2 linked regions of the Schizosaccharomyces pombe genome follow. The gene in region 2 interacts genetically with the main gene of each other region. Each region holds a gene or a part of one and is shown on either strand. Other genes may lie near its edges. The genes, in order: ark1 and sst4.

Evidence for each region.
Region 1: of sst4 (region 2) and ark1, extra expression of one impairs growth in a mutant of the other (dosage growth defect), as found in Schizosaccharomyces pombe (one study listed by BioGRID).

The regions. Positions count from the first base shown.
Region 1 is NC_003421.2:136,355-146,146, forward strand, and holds ark1 (Aurora-B kinase Ark1), read left to right. Parts: upstream 1-5,275; 5' UTR 5,276-5,307; coding exon 5,308-6,375; 3' UTR 6,376-6,684; downstream 6,685-9,792. Other genes in the region: sdh3 (succinate dehydrogenase cytochrome B subunit), read right to left, coding at 1-145; DNA-directed RNA polymerase III complex subunit Rpc37, read left to right, coding at 667-1,395; rpl2402 (60S ribosomal protein eL24), read right to left, coding at 1,742-2,191; serine racemase Sry1, read right to left, coding at 2,868-3,839; peptidase Atp23, read right to left, coding at 6,866-6,873, 6,940-7,489; nip7 (RNA-binding and ribosome biogenesis protein), read left to right, coding at 8,026-8,081, 8,235-8,321, 8,484-8,883. UniProt on the Schizosaccharomyces pombe protein: Component of the chromosomal passenger complex (CPC), a complex that acts as a key regulator of chromosome segregation and cytokinesis.
Region 2 is NC_003424.3:2,470,209-2,480,531, forward strand, and holds sst4 (ESCRT 0 complex subunit sst4), read left to right. Parts: upstream 1-7,662; 5' UTR 7,663-7,910; coding exon 7,911-9,743; 3' UTR 9,744-9,823; downstream 9,824-10,323. Other genes in the region: nonsense-mediated decay protein Upf2, read right to left, coding at 1-1,735; protein prl65, read right to left, coding at 2,386-2,541, 2,653-2,694; U3 snoRNP-associated protein Imp4, read left to right, coding at 4,509-5,378; pbr1 (putative dehydrogenase), read right to left, coding at 5,758-6,888; C-22 sterol desaturase Erg5, read right to left, coding at 9,939-10,323.

The sequences.
Region 1 (9,792 bases), on a different chromosome or scaffold from region 2:
AATTAGCCTCCGTCTGGGTCAAATGTTCGGTTGCAATAGAGCGTCTCCAAACATTTCGTAAAGTAGAGCGGCCAGCAGGGCGCAACAGTTGAGCAGCCGGACGGAATAAAGAAGAGCTTAGGCAGAATGAGCGAGTTGCGAACATGGTCAAATTGGGTCGCAAAAAAAAAGGGGGATAATTCAAATTTTTAAAAGAATACTTATTCAATAGTTGTACAGTGTAAAAAATGGATGCAGACACAAGTTTTCAACTGATTAATTATATGTGTACTGCAACAAATGGTATTGGTAGCTAGAGGAATTGCGCAGTATGTTATTGGAAGATATTTTCCGCTTAGCAATTCGCTCGCTGTAGGCAATAATGTTAAAAGGCCGGAGTTCGAATTATAGAAACCGACCAATTTTATATTTTGATAAAAACCATTTTCTTTTAATAATTTGGAAATTTTGTCGAGAGGCATTCACAATAAAGATTTTCTGCATTTTTTGAAGACAGCTATTGTATTAAAAAACTGATTGGAAAGTGGAAAAGGTATATTAATATTTTGGCAAAGGATTTCATTTACTAGGTAAAAATTTGTCGCCTCAATTTAACAGTACTTTTTGCAGGGAAAAAGGGTATAAAGATAATTTACGGAAAAGTTAATAGATAAAAAGACTTAAAGAATGTCCTTTTCAGAAGATCAAGCAATGGAAGAAGCCAAACTGAGAAATGATGAAACTGAAGAGCAGGATCCAGTGGTGCGGACATATCCGGTATTTTTCTCACCCGGACTTAGAAATAATCTTTTACTAAATCAATTTCCCCTTCGTCCTAAAAACCGCACATACAGTGATGCAAATGGTGAAGCACCAATCGATGTTCGAGTGAAACCGAAGACTGGCTGGATGGAGGTCGATGTACCCATTCCTACAACAAAATACTATAATGAGGATAAGGCAATGAAATATGGTAACGGCAAAAAGCCAATTCAGACCCAAACACTTTCTGGAAGACTTCAGAAACCAAGGACCAATTTGATGGTCGGTCTAATTCGCGACGGGCAATTTCATATTGTGCCGTTGCGCGGTTTAACGCAGCTGAGGCCCTCAATGAAACATGTAAATGAATATACACAAAAGTTAAAGGCTGCTGCTGGCCCTTCAAATTCTTCGTCTGGTACGTCTACCCCACGTGGACCCATTCGCGCAGTGCAGGTTACTGCCAAACAAAATACAGAAGCACCAAAAGTCTCCACCACTCACATAGTTAGAGCAACAGAGGAGGAGGAATGGGTTGAGTTGGACTGTCGCCCAGAACGCGAGTCCGAGTCAATATTGAAGCAATTAGAATGTCCCATCGAACATCAACCAAACGAGTGCGCTGCTGTTGATGAAGATTACTCCTTTATTTAGTTTAATCAATGCGTTTATGTATATATTTCTTCACGTAAAAACTGCTTTTAGTCATTGCAAAACAGATAAAATTGACATGACTCTCATTAATTGCTATACAAGAGTAAGTCGTATTTACTTACAGATGCTAACATGATGACTGAAAATATTGACGAAATTAATATCAACCATTTTTATTGCTATATGCAATTTGCTTAATCAATACTGTACCACTTTAAACACTGCCTGCTACAATAGTGCATAACTTCTATTTCACTTGGTATACAAACAAAAAAAAAACTCTACTTGTACAAGTATAGACTCCAATGATTAAACCAAAGCATCGAAACATCTCATTTATTTTTAACTAACGACGAGCAGCAACCTTGGCATTCTTAATAGCTTGGCCACGAGCAGAGCTGGCAGCAGACTTGGCCTTGATGGCCTTCTTTTCAGATTCGGAGGCGGCCCTCTTATCCTTACGTTGCTTCAAAGCAGCGGCACGGGCAGCAGCACGGACTTCAGGACGTTGGTTACGCTTCTCTTTAATGACATCCAAGTTAGCACCGACAATTCCACGTTGGTGCTTGACGGTACGACGAGTACGCTTCTTAGCATGCTCCTCAGAGATACCCTTCTTGTGCATACGACGGTAAAGGACAGTCCATGACAAACGACGGGGGTTCTTGCGTTGAAGGAAAAGGCTCTCAGACTTCTTGTTGACAAAGCGGAAAACCTTGTTGTCTCCACGAACAAAGAGTCTTCCAGCTCCGGGATAAACCTTGGATCCAGAAAATGAGCAAACTTCCACCTTCATTTTTCCTAGTAGTTCGTGGTCGATTCCTCTAAACTTTCGTGTATCGTGTTGTGTCGTATTTCAAAAAATAGTCACAAACCCTAACCTCATATTTTAACTACGGACGGACTCGTTAATGGATTTAAGACTCACTTCCTGTTCAATTTTTATTTACGCCTTAATTTGGTAAAAGGGCTAAATGCGTTAGTGACTCGGTGGAGTACAATGCGTTTATTTTAAATAGCAGAACCTGGCAGCTGCTGCAATATTTGTATAATACAAATATAATGATCCCGTACTAGTAATAAAAACCTGGTTTTAAGTACATTTGTAACTGAAATGCAAGTTTACTAGGTTTAAAACATTCTTTATTAAAAGAATAATAAAAGTTAGAATTATCGCAAACTTACTTGTCAAAGCAGTGATTCGGTGGGATTTAATGAATTGTGAAACGTAGCGCTTGCTGTTTGTTATTTATTGGTCTAGGGTATTTTTCAAAGATTAAGTAAAAGGAATTAATTTTTTGTCCAGCATTCAATTCTATATACCTTTCCTAACGCAAAATGTTGCTTCATTATACGCAAACAATCAATTGCGAGATAGGCTCATTTCCATAATTTAGCAGCATGTAAGCATCACGAAAAGTAAGAGCAGTTAAATAACGGTTTTTATTTGATCAAAAAGATGATAATTATGATTACTGTGATAAGAAATGGGCATAACGCTCAATGTCTACGTTTCCTCCACTTATAATGATACCAATTCGTTTATTCTTTAGCTTTTCCTTCATAGCGCGCGCTGCCGCAAAGCTAAGACATCCAGTGGGTTCGACTACAATTTTCATACGTGCGGCATAAAACTTAAGACAGTCAATTAGTTCCTCGTCGGACACAGTCAATATATCATCGACCTTTTCTTTTATAATGGAAAACGTGTAGTTACCCAAATGTTGAGTTTGAGCACCATCGGCTATAGTTTTTGGTGTATCAATATGTACGATAGATCCTTTCCTAAAGGACTGTTGCCCATCGTTTCCAGCTTCAGGTTCAACTCCATAAACTTCGCAGTTTGGAGCAAAATGGCGAGCAGCAAGTGCTGATCCAGAAAGCAAGCCACCGCCTCCGAGACAAACAAAAAGTGCATCAAGAGGGCCAACCTCTTCAAACAGTTCCTTAGCTGCGGTTCCTTGACCAGCAAGTACATGGGGGTGATCGTAAGGAGGGATAATGGTAAGACCTTCTCTTTCAGAAATTTCTTTGGCCATCTTTTCTCTATCATCTTTGTATCTATCATACATGATTACTTGACCACCATAGCCTTTCGTGGCAGCGACCTTGGCTTCGGGTGCATCGAGTGGCATAATGATTTTTGCTGGAATTCCCAAGATCTTTGCCGACAGTGCAATGGCCTGAGCATGATTACCAGAAGAAAACGTCAAAACACCAGCTTTACGTTGAGCTTCATTGAGTTGAGAAAGAGCATTAAGGGCACCGCGAAATTTGAAAGCACCCATTTTTTGGAAATTTTCACATTTAAAAAACACTTCTGCCACAAACTCTTTATTTACTGTGCTCGACGTGAGTACTGGGGTTTTGTTGGCGAATTTCTTAATTCGCTCACTAGCTGAAGCAACATCATCATAGGTAGGAAGCACCAGGTTATCGCTCATTGTCGTAGTTTTTTAAAAATTTAAAAAGAGTGAAAATATCCTTTTATTCTGTAAACTATTCAGTCTTAAAATGCAAACTGAAGAATTTAACGACAATGAGAGATGTCAAATCAAGCAGAGCTCTCGATCATTTATAGAGAGAACCGTCAACTGTAACGCTATCTTATCTTTACTATGAAAAGAAGGTCAAAAAATGCGAGCCCAACTCGGAAACGAATTTATAGGCGACAATTGTAAAGACACTTACACAATTAGAACCAAATGGAAATGAAACAGCAGGACGGAGCTCCAACTTGCTAGTTCATAAAACAGTGACATGTAGCATAGCGAGTATAATGCTAATCACTATTTGTAGTATTCCTCTGTAATAAATGTTAACATTATATAGTGAGAATTTCAAGATGTAGAAACAGTCTGTTAAGAGTGTCATAGAATATAACGAAAATGCATGTATAACAATTGTTTCGACTCATTGAGTGCCAGAATAGTAACGTCTTTCTACCTTTAGCGTGATGAACAGTCATGCAGCATTGGTTAAATATATCAATAGTTTGAACCAAGCCTCGTTAATTTCTGTAAACTGTATCTGCTCAGCAATGGACTTGACTGCAGCTTAAATCAGTTTAGAAATAAATATCCAACAAACGGTGTTTTGACTTTCACATTACTATGCATATAACTCGTTACTAAAGAGTTCTTTTTTTTTATGAGAAATCTTAATCAAGAATGAAAAAGCTGATAATTAATGCTAAAACAATCGCAGAATTATATAATCCGTCATGGTCCAGTGGCTAGGATTCATCGCTCTCACCGATGCGGCGGGGGTTCGATTCCCCCTGACGGAGATTTTTTATCGTGTACTTTTCTAAATTGATTGAGAAATACGATAATTTATTATCAACTACAATTGTTAATTCACTTTTCGGTCCTTTTCTTTTGGTGTTACTCTACTTACTGAATTCTTTTCTTTTCTTGTTAGTTAGCACTGTCTCCTTCTGAAGCGTTAATATTGTAAGTATTCTATAACTAGTATTGAATAGTTCACTGTATATCGTTATTCGGTAAACAAACAGTGGACACATTGAAAAGAATAAAAAACAGATACTAAATATACTTTTAAGCCTGTGGTATTGGGATGATATAGAATATTCTGTTTGTTTTCCTTTTATTTATTTTGTTGAGAACGATACATGTCGTTTTTTTTAATAACATTTGTAGAATCGAAGTGGGTTCGTATGCTAAATAAATTCGTTCATAATTTCCATGTAAATAATCTTTGAAACACCCTTTGAGTATTCATAAATAACAACGGGAATCAGAGCCTCCTTCTTAGTTTGAAAGAAAGGAAGATAATAGCAGGCTGTGTTAAGACTCAGTAAACATGGTGTTACCTCAAAATGTAAACAACAACGCTCCTACTTCTGGACGAACTTGTCAAAAGCCAACATCAGCGTTTTTTTACGAAATAATGTCAGATTCAAAGTTGGCAGATTCTTTGAATTGCCTTTCTGTGTCAACTCCATCAACCACAGCTAATCCTGGGAGACAACAGCTTTTACGACTTGCAGTATCAAACCAACGACAAGTAAATAATGTTAGTCTAGCAAATGGGAAGGAAAACAAACGGACTTCAAATAGCAAGTTCAATTCTTCCCTTCGTAAGATAGAAGAGCCAATTGCTGGAGTACCTTCATCAGCTGGTCCTCAATGGCGAGAATTTCATATTGGAATGTTTGAAATTGGAAAACCCTTAGGGAAAGGAAAGTTTGGAAGGGTATATCTAGCTAAAGAGAAGAAGACCGGGTTTATTGTGGCTCTCAAAACATTGCATAAGTCTGAACTTGTCCAGTCAAAGATAGAAAAGCAAGTTCGACGAGAAATTGAGATTCAATCAAATCTTCGCCATAAAAACATTTTACGGCTATATGGGCACTTTCATGATGAAAAAAGGATTTATTTGATTTTAGAGTTTGCTGGCAGGGGTGAGTTGTATCAACACTTGCGTCGTGCAAAACGATTCTCAGAAGAAGTTGCGTCTAAATATATCTTCCAAATGGCTAACGCCTTATCCTACTTGCATAAGAAGCATGTAATACACCGTGATATCAAACCTGAGAACATTTTATTAGGAATTGATGGAGAAATCAAGCTTTCTGACTTTGGTTGGAGTGTCCATGCACCTTCTAACCGTCGTACCACTTTATGTGGTACATTAGATTACTTACCACCTGAAATGGTGGAGGGAAAAGAGCATACCGAAAAAGTTGATCTCTGGTCGTTGGGTGTCTTAACTTATGAGTTTTTGGTGGGAGCACCGCCTTTTGAGGACATGTCTGGTCATTCAGCTACGTATAAGCGTATCGCCAAAGTTGACTTAAAAATTCCAAGCTTTGTTCCTCCTGATGCACGGGATCTTATTTCTCGTCTATTACAGCATAATCCTGAAAAAAGAATGAGTTTGGAACAAGTTATGAGGCACCCTTGGATTGTAAAATATAAAGATTCATGGACTCGCAAAAGTTCTGAATCTTCCTAACCGCCATCTTGGTACTTTTTATTTAATTTTTCCTTCTTCTCACTACATTTTTGCATTACTACTTTCTTTTTGTTTCAGCGCTCTTTTTAATCGCGCAGCTCACTATATTCCTTCAGAACTTTTTTGATCTTTGGGGGTTATGGAGGTTTAATTATATGTAATATAACACACTCATTTAATAGAGGATCACCACCATAAACTAATCGTTTTCCAGATTTTCTTTTCGAAATCACTTAGAAGACATTCATTTTCCTAATAAAAACTATTTAAAAATTTATCATCACTTTAGCCAAGCTAATAATAACTTCCAAAAAAACTGTTACAATATGTATAAAGATAAAGTACGCCAAGCACATAATAAGTTGCATAACAAGTGAGAAGTATGCTTCGATATTTTTTAAAAGCCAACGTAAATGCTGTACGGGATATTATAAAATGGGAGGGGAAGGGAGTTGACATAATAACTATCTGACTTTTGTAAACTGGTATTTCAATAGACTAGACGAAAGAATGAATAGTTAGTACGAAGAAAAAAATGAATGAACAAAACTACAGCGAACGTACTTTTTTCAAAAGGCCTGAAATCGTTGAAACAGGAATTGAACACTTCTTCAACGATTGCTTCTGCTTGCTCTTTGCTTTTACAATTCGGGTTACCTTGTACGGAGATAGTAGCTCGTCGTTTGACGCATTCTTGATGATGCTTCCGAAAAGTTTTAATGTTACCAAAACGAAGTTCTTTGGTCCAGCGACACTCACCACTCATACTACTAGCACGAATTTCTGAACAAGCCTGATGTCTCAAATTGTTCCAATCGACTTCAAACCTGTGGTCGTCAAACATGTGTATCATTTCATGGGCAATTGTATTCTCTGCCATTTTTTTAGTATAAAGTCTGTTTTCACACAGAACTATCCCTTTACCGGGAATGTAACCTCCAGTACTTTGTGCATCACAAGGCTGGCAAGAAATGTCTTTAGCTTCAATGTTGCAATTCAAACGATCCAAGGCAGTTTTTAAAAAAATAATTACTGGAGATTGGGACATTAAAGCGCGCTTTACGCGCTCACAATTTTTCCTCTCTTTCGACCAACTTTGTGGATCTTCGCTCATATCTAAATGCACGTTTCCTTAATTCTTATAAAAAGGCCTTCAAAGGAGTTTATGGAGACAACAAACGATATCTCTAATAAATGTCAATTAATAAATTTTACCTGTACAACATTAGGTGGTTGAGTAGCAATTCGCATGAACAGGCGAAACCCCGAAAATAGTGATCGACAGAGGGAAAACACTAGTGAAGTTCTTCGTAAATATATAAGAAAGATTACACCCTTTCCGAGCCCATGGACTGCAAAGTGAGGGAGTATCGACTTTTTTTCCTATTCACAGTCTGCTGAACCCTGCTATGTGTATCAGATTGCAAGCTCTTTCACATAAAACAGTACAACGCAAAAGTTTTGCAGTTTATAACGTTATTTAACGTAGTTAAGAGAAATTGTACTCGTTATACGTTATAGCGTAAAATAATTTGCGCTTTGTGTTATACGGTAGCTTACACTTCGAATGAAGCAGTAAACGTTTCTTTCTGTTCTTTACCTAAAACAAAAAAATCTTAAAAAAGGGTCTTTTTTATAGATACTGAAACAATGAGGCCTTTAACTCATGAAGAGACAAAGACTTTCTTTGAAAAATTGGCTCAGTAGTAAGTTCATTGCACTATTTCATTGTGTTTGGAATATTTCATTCCATCGAGTTTCTTATAAAGTGTTGGGATTACTTTTTACTTCTAATACTCTACAAGAAATATTTATGTTATTTTCTACGTTGTAATTGCGTTACTGACTAGTAAAACTAGCATTGGAAAAAATATTACTCATTTAATAGACCGTCCGGATGATCCTCATTGCTTTCGTTTACAAAAAGATCGTGTTTATTATGTTAGGTAAGATTTTTGAATATGGCCACCATTCATTCTACCCCTAATATCAAAAATTACGCTAAAAAATGACCTTTTCAATTGAAACAAATATTTTAGCGCAAATAAAGTGCAGGACGGAGTGATTCTTTTTTTTTATTTAGTTCAATCAAGTTAACATACTTATAGTGAACGTGCAATGAAAATGGCTACATCTGTAGCTCGCCAAAATCTGATGTCGTTGGGTATTTGCTTTGGCAAGTTTACCAAGACAAACAAATTTCGCTTGCATATTACTGCTTTAGATTACATAGCCCAATACGCTCGCTATAAAATTTGGGTTAAAAGTAATGGTGAAATGCCGTTCCTCTATGGCAATCATGTTTTGAAGGCACACGTGGGTCGAATCACAGATGACACTCCTCAACATCAAGGTGTCGTTATTTATTCCATGAATGACACTCCTTTAGGTTTTGGTGTAACTGCTCGCTCTACTCTTGAATTGCGACGCCTTGAGCCTACAGCTATTGTTGCTTTCCATCAAGCAGATGTTGGTGAATATCTTCGTGATGAAGATACTCTTTTTTAGAGTACGAACGGAAAACATTGCTTAAAAAATATAATTAGCCTTGCTTTCACGTACATTCTCCTTTTTTGATTTTGTAGAGTGTGCAGGAAGAATAAGGTCTCTGGTTCGCGGCGAATCTTATCTTTTTGAATTTGGTGCTCTTTTTTTTTAAATAAAAAAAGAGACTTTATGCTTAAACAAAAGTAGTTCCATTTACATACTTTTGTAAGGTTAAAGAGGTTTTGGGCTTAACTGCAACCGTATTGGTTTGGCATTTTGGGTTGTGTGGTTTTTCTAGTTTCAAAAAAATATAATATGAGCTTATCTAAAGGGAAATTTTATTATTATGGCAAATGCGCCGGCAATAAATAACCATCTTTTTTTCATTGCCTCGAGCATTAAAAATTAAAACAATTAACTAGTAGCTTGAAATTGAAATGAAATTATGTACCGGTGTGCGAGCAAAATCTTTATTTATATGATTTAAGTCTAATTGATTTTATTACTTTATGCAAGTATTTTTCGTCCTCTAAAAATAGCCTAGCATCTTTCGACTTTTGCTTCGGATGTATAAGAGAAGTTGACTCGGTATAACCTGCTGTTAAAATCGTATTCAGTATTAAAGAAAAATACTGAATTAAACTAGATGGTTTATACTAAAAATACAGCTTGTAATTACTATCATAAAATCACACTCTCTTCAGTTGGTTCCTTTGTTTTATTATAGCTCGTGTAATCTTTATGCAACAGCCATACAAAAATTTTGCAAAACATCAAACGAAGAAAGGATTAATTTGAGAAATTGAAGCGAGATAACGAAGTAATGTGACTAGGTCATGAGTAAGGACGCTATAAGAATTTAAGTGAGCATTTTCATGAGAATGACTTAAGCACAATATCTACATATCTAAAAACTTTTTTTTTGACATA
Region 2 (10,323 bases):
AAACTTCCAAGTCAAATGGTGTAAACTCATTTATACACAATTTATAGCATTCAAAAACCATGTGGAAAGGCATCAACTGAAATTTAGTAAGTTCAGAAATATAACGAACAATAAGCAATCTAGTATCGTATTCGTGCTTAGCTTTTCGATGAATCATCCTTTTGAACGAATGTCTTGCATGATCTACCAATGAAGTGGAAAACTCTGATGAAAGTTGAGAAAGAATACGTGCTAATCGAACATAATAAGGAACAAGGAAAGACGATGTCCTAGGGATAGTGCACAAAGCCTTTATAAGTCGATTCCTAGATGCCTTTGTATTTAAGTCGTAAAACTCCAAGGCCATTTCATTCGTGAGTTCTAAGGAAACCATGGAGGGTAATTTTAGCAAGAAGTTATCAACTCTTGAGCTTACTTGCGTTGTATTTAGATCGCCCGTTGAGTCCTTAAGATCATCTTCTTTTTTATTGTTTTCAGATGAAGAACGAATACCTTCCTGACTGGATTCGTAAATGCTACTTTTCATTTCAGCTATAGAACCTTCATTAAAATTTGGGAACACCTCGTAAAAAAAATATTGCTCTCTATCATCCCAAACTTGAGCCGTTTCAACATTGGCAGACTCACTCCTTTCGCCTGATGCATTAAACACGCTATTAGTTCCAGAGGAAGCCTTTTCCATAAAGTTGAGTTCCAAGAGATCTTCGGAAGCTTTTCTATTCAATACTTCTGAAAGAGAAGCATAAGAAGAAAATTCAGACTCGATCGATTTTGAAAAGTTAGCAAGGCGCTGGAATTTTTCATTGTTTGGATCTGCCCTTATAATGCTTTGCTCTTGATATTGTTTGTTTAATTCTTCAAAAAGAGATTTTCGCTTTTGGCAGTAGACCTCTAATTTGTCTACGTAGGAATTCAACGACTTTCTTAAATAAGTCCTCCACACAACCGGATTAAGGCGATTAACTAGTTCTAAAGTTTCTTTATCTTCAAAATCCTCTGTAGTGAAAAGTTCGCAAGAAAAAGTCCTCACCAAAGATGTCAAAACCGGTAACAAGAGAAACCCAAATCTTGTGTCCATAAGGTCATTGAATAGCAGAACCACCAAGGGTTTTTTTAAATTTTGCTCTTCAAACCATGGCTTACGAAACTTTTTATCATTCGAATCAGTAGAAGGTAAATAAGAGACGAAATCCTCAGGAGTGCCAACAACACCATTTAACCAAAACTCAATCAAAAACCTAAGGAGCGGTCTAACTTTGAGTAAATGAGAGGAACGGTCCTTTTCGGAAACTTCGTTTTCATTTTGCTTTAGTTCAAAGTATGATTCGTGACACAATGAGTATCCTGGGTTTGGGTATAAAGCACAGTATAAGTTGGCCAGCATGGGTCCAGTAAAAGCCGTGGAAAAACGCAGATTAAGAGCCCAAACAATTTTGACTGACGACAGTATGTCTTTAGTAGCTTTACATTTCATCATTCCTTCTACGATGGCGGCGGTAATTTCAGGAATGAACTTTTTCAAAGACAGGGTTTTTATTTCCTTTATAAAGGAATCGTAATTTTCAGAAGTTAATGAGGACTTACATCTTTTCATAAATGCTGTATTTTTCTTTAGAGAAGAATCCAGCTGGCTCTCAGTATGAAATATATTTTTGTCACCATCTTTGGCTCGGAAGGCAAGCTCTCTATTATCCAAATATTGATTAAGTTTTTTTATTTGTTCTTCTCTTGACATAATTTAACGAAATTGCATTGAAAAGCACTTCAATTCTCATATCTTGTTTAGAACACTAGTCGACGATAGTTGGCGTAAAGTGAGTAGATAAATTTGACACATGTCCTCTTCCACAACGAAATAATATTGTAAAGTAACTATGGCAAGTATCTTAAATTATACTGGTTTTTTTTTTTAAAAAAGAATAAACAGTATTGGATTATATTTTAGTTGCATAAATGCTATATTGTTGCTGCAGTTTCATATATTAGAGGAATAAATCAATTGGGGATGATTAGAAGCAATAGGAGGTTTGTGCATTGGTACAATTTAAACATAATTTGTTAGGCATGAAGAATAAAACAGTTAATACAGGTAGATGTATGCATCATCTTGATAAGGACCTTTTATGATTGACGAAAATATATCTACGGTTTCCACTTTTACGCTTACTGTTGATGTGTAACAATCTTAAATAAAAAGGAAAAAAAGGTAACAGTAGCAATTTATTGAAGCTATTAAGTGTGCTAACAGAAATTCAATACAATTGTTGATACTCAGAAAGGGTAATTAAGCAATACTCAGAAAACCATGTATTGCCTTCGAATAAATAAAACACTTTTATAAATAAATATCATATTCAACAAAAAATTGCTCAGATCGTTAAAACATTAGTCTAGGATACGAGAAATGTTTCTCTCCTTGTAGGTAGCAGCCTTTCCAGTATGATCGTTCAATATTTCATAACGAGTCTCCTCTCCGCTATCGTTTTTAATCACCTGCTGGATAACTCCTGTTGAGGTGCTGGTACCGCTAGGGCCACCAATCTTAAACCATTTGTTAATACTTAATCACAGTCGAAAAACTTCAAGACACAATTCGGTACACAAAATACAGTGTACTTAACTGACATGCCTGAATCAAAAATTCCTACTTACAGGATGGTATTCGACTTTGTTTCCTTTAGAATATTTGGTCATTTTTTAAACGATATGAATATTTATGATTTTAGTATGCAAACCTCCAAATTATATAGTTTTTTTATTATGAAAGTGGCAACTAAACCTCTTAAACAATTGCACATAATGTTGTCGTGAGTAAGACGTAAACCATCTAGACGTAATCAATGCCTTTGATAATTTTTGTGTGAAATCTGATACATGCAACCCTGCAGTACAACGTAGCACGTTTCATCACTTCGTGAAGACACATGGATAAATCGTTCATCATCCAACACTTCCATTTGAGAAGAAGCGGCGATTGACATAACTATAGTGAACGTAATAAATTGTGATTGAAAACCAAGTTAGTCTTGTTTTTTTACGTGGCATCGAAGTTATATCTATAGAAATGTAGTATAGAAAAAAAATGTGTGAGATTGAAAGATAGATAGATATTAATTCATTCCAACTTTTAAAACAATGGTAGTTTAGCGTAACGATTTTTCGTCATATTTACTCATCAACGAGAATAATTTTTCCCATTGAAAGTTATCTGGATGAGACCGGAGTTCGCTCATGAGGTTGCAAATACGAGGTTAGATTAAATCGACTTTCTCATTACTACCAGCATAAGAAAAGTGATCCTAAGCATTTTTTAAAACATTAGTGAACTTTTCGAATCAATGTACAGTGTTCCTACTTCGCACTTTAAAAGATTTAGTTGGGTAGGAAAAACAATGTCAATCCTAACAGTAATTAAACGGATGTAGAATTTGGAAAATCGACAAACATTGTCATAGTCAACTTTTTTATATGAATGTGTTTCCAATTCCCAATATTCTGGGTTCATACAAGGCTAATCCTTCATCAATAAGCTTCAATTACCTATCCTTGTTTATTATCGAGCATTTTCAGAACCTGGTAAAAGCTTCTAAAAATTCAAAAAATCGGTCACTCTTTTTTTTGGTTCGTGAATTATATTTTTGTTTTGCTTCCCCTAAAACGTTTGATGTGAAAGTTAAATAATACGGATAGTAAATTTTCTAAAATATCTCTTCTTCTGCCTTCAGCTACTTGGCTGTTTGGATGGATAAGTTATAAACCAATTAAATTTTTAGAAAAGAATATTTAACTATAGTAGTATACTTAGTCGGATAAACCTTTTTCTACTGTAGTTTAACCAACAATGTTTTACAAAGATTTTCAGTGCTATAATGCGATTAGGTTGTAAGTGTAATTTTATTTAAAAGTCTAAACTTATGATCATATTAAAATACGCACATTTCGTATATATACGTGCTCAGTTGATTAGTGAAGACGAACATATAAATGATGAACGCTATAGAACAAAAAGTATTAAACTGAGACAAGTGTTTGCTACACAGTTTGGTATCCGATTTAAGGATACGTAGAACTGCGGTGAGTTTTCCTTGTGGTCTATTATATTACAATACACAGGTTGTATAAGTAGCAACTGAGTATAGGTATTGTATTAACTGGGTTATAATGTTACCTATCACTAATATAGCTCATAACTGAACTGAGGAACGAGGTTCAGCAGTAGCTCTATTTATAGTATTCAGATAATATTGATCTTAATAGATTATCATTAAGATCAATCTCCATATCGTATCATACATGGTACGATATATAATTAGAACATGTGACATATAGTGATACGCAACGTAGTGTATCATAGCGTAGTGTAGTATTGCTGACATTAGTTCGCGACCTATCCCCATGCAAAAAATATTTTCGGCATTAGTGTTAAGAACGAGGTGCATACAACTTTCGCATTGCAAACAGCTAGTTGCATACTGCAAGTGTAATTTTTTTTAATTTAATAATTTAAGATGCTTCGTCGTGCTGTTAGGGAAAGAAGACAGTTCATTTATAAGAGAAATCAAGAACTTCAAGAAGCAAAACTCAATGAAAAACGACGTGCATTAAGAAAAGCATTGGAAGGTAACAAAGAATTGAACAAAGATTTGCAGGAAGACAGTCAACTTCAAAAGGATTATAAATATGATGAAAGCAGAGCAACTCAAGAAGAGACAGAAACCAACCTTGACGATGAGTACCACCGTCTGGGTGAGAGGGAGCCAAAAGTTTTAGTTACCACCAGTCGAGAGCCCTCATCTCGTCTAGCGCAATTTGCAAAAGAAGTACGTCTCTTGATTCCCAACTCATATCGACTCAATCGTGGTAATATCGTTGTCGGAAGCTTGGTAGAAGCCGCTCGTGCCAATGATATTACCGATATAGTCATTTTGCACGAACACAGAGGTATCCCTGATGGTCTTGTAATTTCTCATCTTCCTTATGGTCCTACCTTGTCATTTTCTTTACATAACGTGGTTCTTCGTCATGATATCCCTAATACTGGTACCATGTCAGAAGCGTATCCACATCTTATTTTTGAAAATTTGACTTCAAAGTTGGGAAAGCGCGTTAAAACAGCTCTTTCTGCTTTATTTCCTCCAGACCCTAAAGATACTACACCACGTGTGGTTACATTTGCTAACACTGATGATTATATCAGTTTCCGTCACCACATTTACGCCAAAACAGGCCCAAAGCAGATTATTCTATCTGAGGCTGGTCCTCGCTTTGAGATGAAACTATTTGAAATTACCCTCGGCACCGTTGATATGGTAGACGCTGATGTGGAATGGAAATTGAAGCCTTACCAGCGTCACAAACGTGATGTTTTAGCTGAATGAGCGTAGGTATGATGGGTATGGTCAAACGGTTATTTTAGGTTCATTTGGGATACAGGTAAATAATTACAATTCTTTTATGTATAGGCAAGGCCATTAGAGTGAATGGTATCTTTGATAAATAAGGAGGCAAAACTTTCTAGTATTAGTGGTTAATGGTTATACTATTCAAAACATTAGTGAAGTAGAACATATATCAGTAGCGATTGTACTTGGGTTCCTTTTTTATATTTTAATTAGTTTACTTGAGCAATGTTTATGTACAGCTTAAAGTTTAAGCACTGTATTTGTCTTTTTAAAAATACCAACCTTTTAACTTCGGACCTACGTTATTATGGTGAATATTCCAACCAAATGACATTCCATATTTTTCGCTAAACTTCTATTTTTTTGATTTCTTGATTTTCTTCTTCTTGTATTGCTTTTCAACTTCATCAATTTGGGCATCGGCAGCTTTTATTAGTTTTTCAGCAAATTCCGGATCGGTAATTTCTTTGCGTGAATATTCAACTATCGAACATTCATTTACAAGGACGGGTTGAGTAATCGAAGCAAATTCGGGACTGCAAATAGCATGAAAAAATGATTGAGCACCATGAATAGTACCTTTCAGAAGAAGCCACCAAAACGGCCAAAGTAACAAATAAAGAAATAATCCCCAAACCTTTCCAAAGGATACAACTCTTCGAAATCCTGGAGTTCGAACGACACCTGGATTTGCCATGATGGTATGTAAATTACACGGCATTTTGTCAGGTCGTTCATGAGCTTCAGCTTTTTTCTGAAAATCATAAAGATAAGTCATCAAGGCAAGTTTGGCATTTCCCACTACCTTCCAGGGACTTTTTCGAGGATATGGATGATTAGATAAATCAAGATCGTTGAAATCTATATTACCTAAAATATATGATGAACAGGTAGCTGCAACAATTCGTACTTCCCTGTGCCCGGGCTGACCATATATAACTGGGCGGAGAATCCTAAGTAGCTGGTATGGACCTAAGAAATTTGTAGCCCATTGCAACTCAACACCTTCCTCGGTAGTTTGCCTATCCATAAATGGAGGCAGTAAAACTCCACTGCACAAAACTATCATATCCAGCCTACGAATAGGAGTGCAATCAATCCACTTTGTAGCGAACTTCCTAACAGATAACATAGAGCTCAAGTCACAGACTTCAGTATAAATTAGTTGGTTTTTTGTACGCTTTCTAAGGTCCATTATGTAATCTACAGTAAATTGATCTGGCTCTGTACGAAGTAGAATAACAACTTGAGCTCCCAGAGAAGCTAATTTCTCTACGACAACTTGTCCTATTCCAGAACTTCCCCCAGTGACCATGACTACCATTCCGTTCATTTTACGCTCCCAAGTTGTTGTTCGTCCAGAAGTCCAGAATTTAAAGGCCGCAATTGTTGAAACCGCAATCGCAGCCTTTGTATATTGAGCCCAATGTGTAATTAGATGCTCATACTTAAATTGTGCTATGTGAGCAATAATTGGAATAGGCATATTTCGTTGATTTACAAAATCTGTTGATGGAGTTGGCAAAAGGCAGCTACATACCACTGACATTGAGGTATACTAAACTCGTCTTCATATTTAATTCTTAACAATCAAAAATTTAAAACTTTTTTTTATACAATTGTTTTAACTTTAGATGGATTTAATTGTACAATTATTTAATCGCTTGACTGCTAGTGCATATTACTAATAGCAACTAGCTCCATAAATTTGACAAAGATAGGATTGAATTGTTTTTGTATATATACATAATGTAATTTATGGACCGTAAAACAGATTGCTTACAAATTGGAAAGTAAAATAGACTGTTTATATGATATATATGTGAAATTTGAAGATATACTAAATACTTGTTTTAACATAGGAAAATTAAGTATGTGTATACTACAACATTTGACATATTATTTTTTATAATATTTCAAGAAACACTGTGATAGTATATAATTCGCATAGCAAATATAAATTATTACGGTCTGTCTTATTAGCACCTACCAGAAGTACAGCACTCAATGGTGAGGTATCGTTTTCCTTCTTTGCTTATTTATGGTACCTTCAAAAAGGCTGAAACTACATTGCACGCTTTAGCTTGATCTACCTAATGAGTCTATAAACATCATCGATATTTACGACAATTAGTGTTCTCTCAATACTTGCTTTACTATATTTGCCGCTCTGCACTATCAACCGTTATACCGAGATGTGCTAAGCTGCCCGCACTATTACTTAGCAAGTTTGAGCCACGAACAATCTGTTATTGCTGTCGAGAACCAAACTCTTTCTCAAATTGAATTTTATTGGAAAGGAGGATTTACAATACATTATTTTGCCATAATTTCAAACAATCAGAAGAATTGTGCCAAAGTTGTTATACTTCACCTGCTGCTTTTGTTTATTAGGAATTTTTGAAGGCCATTGGTTATTTGTTTGGTGACAATTTAGCTTACAAATAATAAAAAGATTTCTTTTGTTTCTTAATTTCGGTTTTTCTTTTCTTCTCTATTTTCATAACGATGTCTCGGTGGTGGAATTCCAATTCTCAGTTTGCTTCCGACATAGAAAAGGCTACATCGGAAACGCTTCCTGCTGGCTCTGAAGAAATTTCATTATATTTAGAAATTTCTGATCAAATACGTAGTAAGTCTGTTGATCCGAAATTTGCTATGCGTATTCTTAAATCCCGAATTGATCATTCGAATCCGAATGTTCAAATAATGGCATTGAAGTTGACAGATACCTGCGTTAAAAATGGGGGTTCCGGTTTTTTATTGGAAATAGCTTCTAGAGAGTTTATGGATAATTTGGTATCTATTCTACGATCTCCTGCAGGAATAGACGAAGACGTTAAAATGGTCATTTTACGATACATTCAGTCTTGGGCTTTGGCAGTTCCAGATACCAATTCTCCACTTAGTTATATTATTCATGTTTATCAAAATTTAAAAGACGGTGATTATGAGTTCCCTGAGCCTTCTCAGAACATTACTAGCAAATTTTTAGATACTGAAACACCGCCCGATTGGACAGATAGTGAAGTTTGTCTTCGTTGTCGTACACCTTTTACATTCACTAATCGTAAACACCATTGTAGAAATTGCGGTGGCGTGTTTTGCAATCAATGTTCTTCAAAAACACTTTCTCTTCCTCACCTTGGAATTAACCAGCCTGTTAGGGTATGCGACAGTTGTTATTCATTACGTACGAAACCCAAAGGTTCCAAATCAAGAGCGCGAAATGAAAGGAAATTCCATGCGAAGACTAGAAAGACACCCTCTAAACCCGTAACTAATAATGAAGACGAAGATATCAAAAGAGCTATTGAGCTTTCCCTCAAAGAAATGCCTCAATCACGAGAACCTCCATCTTATGAAAGACCTTCAGAGGCCAATGTAGTTATTAGTCAAGACCAACATCTTACAGAAGACGAAGATGAAGAGCTTAAACGTGCTATTGCTATCAGCCTTGAGGAAGCACAGAAGTCATCTCAAAAGGATGACAATGTTACGGCACCTAACAATATGAATATTTCTTACCCTAGTGTTCCAGCTCACACCGTTTCAACTGATATTCGATCATCTCCTTTCTCTGGTAGGCCGAGTGATAATCCTTCTACTTTAATTTCTACTGCGGATGCTGATAACATCACTTTATATGCTACTTTGGTGCAAAAGTTAAAAAAGCTACCACCTGGGTCTATTTTTACGGAATATCAGCTACAGGAACTCCACGAAAATATGGGTGTTATGCGAACTCGTATGATGCGATCGCTTGGTGAAACAATGAGTAAATATAACGGGCTAATTCAAGCTTTGCAAAAGCTCCAAACTTGTATGCGATTGAATGATGCTCTAATAGAACAAAGACTTTCATCCACGTATGCACATCATTATATTGATTCTAGCATGGATTCAAACCGATCAATTGAACCTGAGCCGGATGTAATTAGCACTGTGAGGAATAGTTCAACCATTCCCCAGGCTTCGTCTTCTTCTGTCCCGAAAATCGTTGTCGATTCGTCTCCGGTAACAGAAAATCCCCCTAGTCATTCTGATGTGATGGGTCAGAAAGATACTATCTCCAGTTATTACTCGACGGATACAGACGTTTCTGCGAATGTAATGGGAAATCGACACGATGAAGTTGTATTTTCTGACACCGCATCTGGTGAAAAGAATACAAAATTAAATATCGATGAAAGTACCAACTATTATAATACTGATTCAATCGATAAAGTTGGAGAGCCTTTTGACGAAATTTCCTCTGGTTATGATGATTTAATGAATGGCAATGATAAGCAAGGTAATGATATTCCTGAAGTTCAAGAAGCATCTTTAATCGAGCTTTAGGTTTTAAACATCTTATAATACATATTAAATACTTAGATCAATTTATCGACAATGCATGTCTGTTTACGATCCTTTTAATATTTTTTTGTTTTTCAAAATTGATCAATTGTAACCTAAAATTCAGAATGGTGAATACATACGTAAACTAAACTAATAAACGACTATAGACTCCGAACCTGGGTAGTTATTTGTAAATCAAGCGCTCTCAGTCTCCACAGTTGCGGCAGAGACTGCTTCATTTGAAAAAGCCTCCTTGGAGTTTTTCCAGTCAACAGTTGAAGCATCAAAAGGTGAAAATTTGAGGTAACACATATCTTGAGGAAATGTCGTAGCGAAAATCATTTGAGTATCAGAGTCAGGGGTTCTTTTATGTTTCCAATCAAGCATGATACTGGCCTTTCCAATGCAAGCAATTAAATGATTAACGGCATAACGCTGGCCCAAACATACATGAGGACCATTACCAAAAACCATCCAATTCTTAGGACTTTGCTCGGCAAGACCATTTGGTGCCCAGCGGTCAGGATTAAATGTTTCTGGCTCTGGATAAACCTTAGAATCGTGAAGTGCACCATAGAGG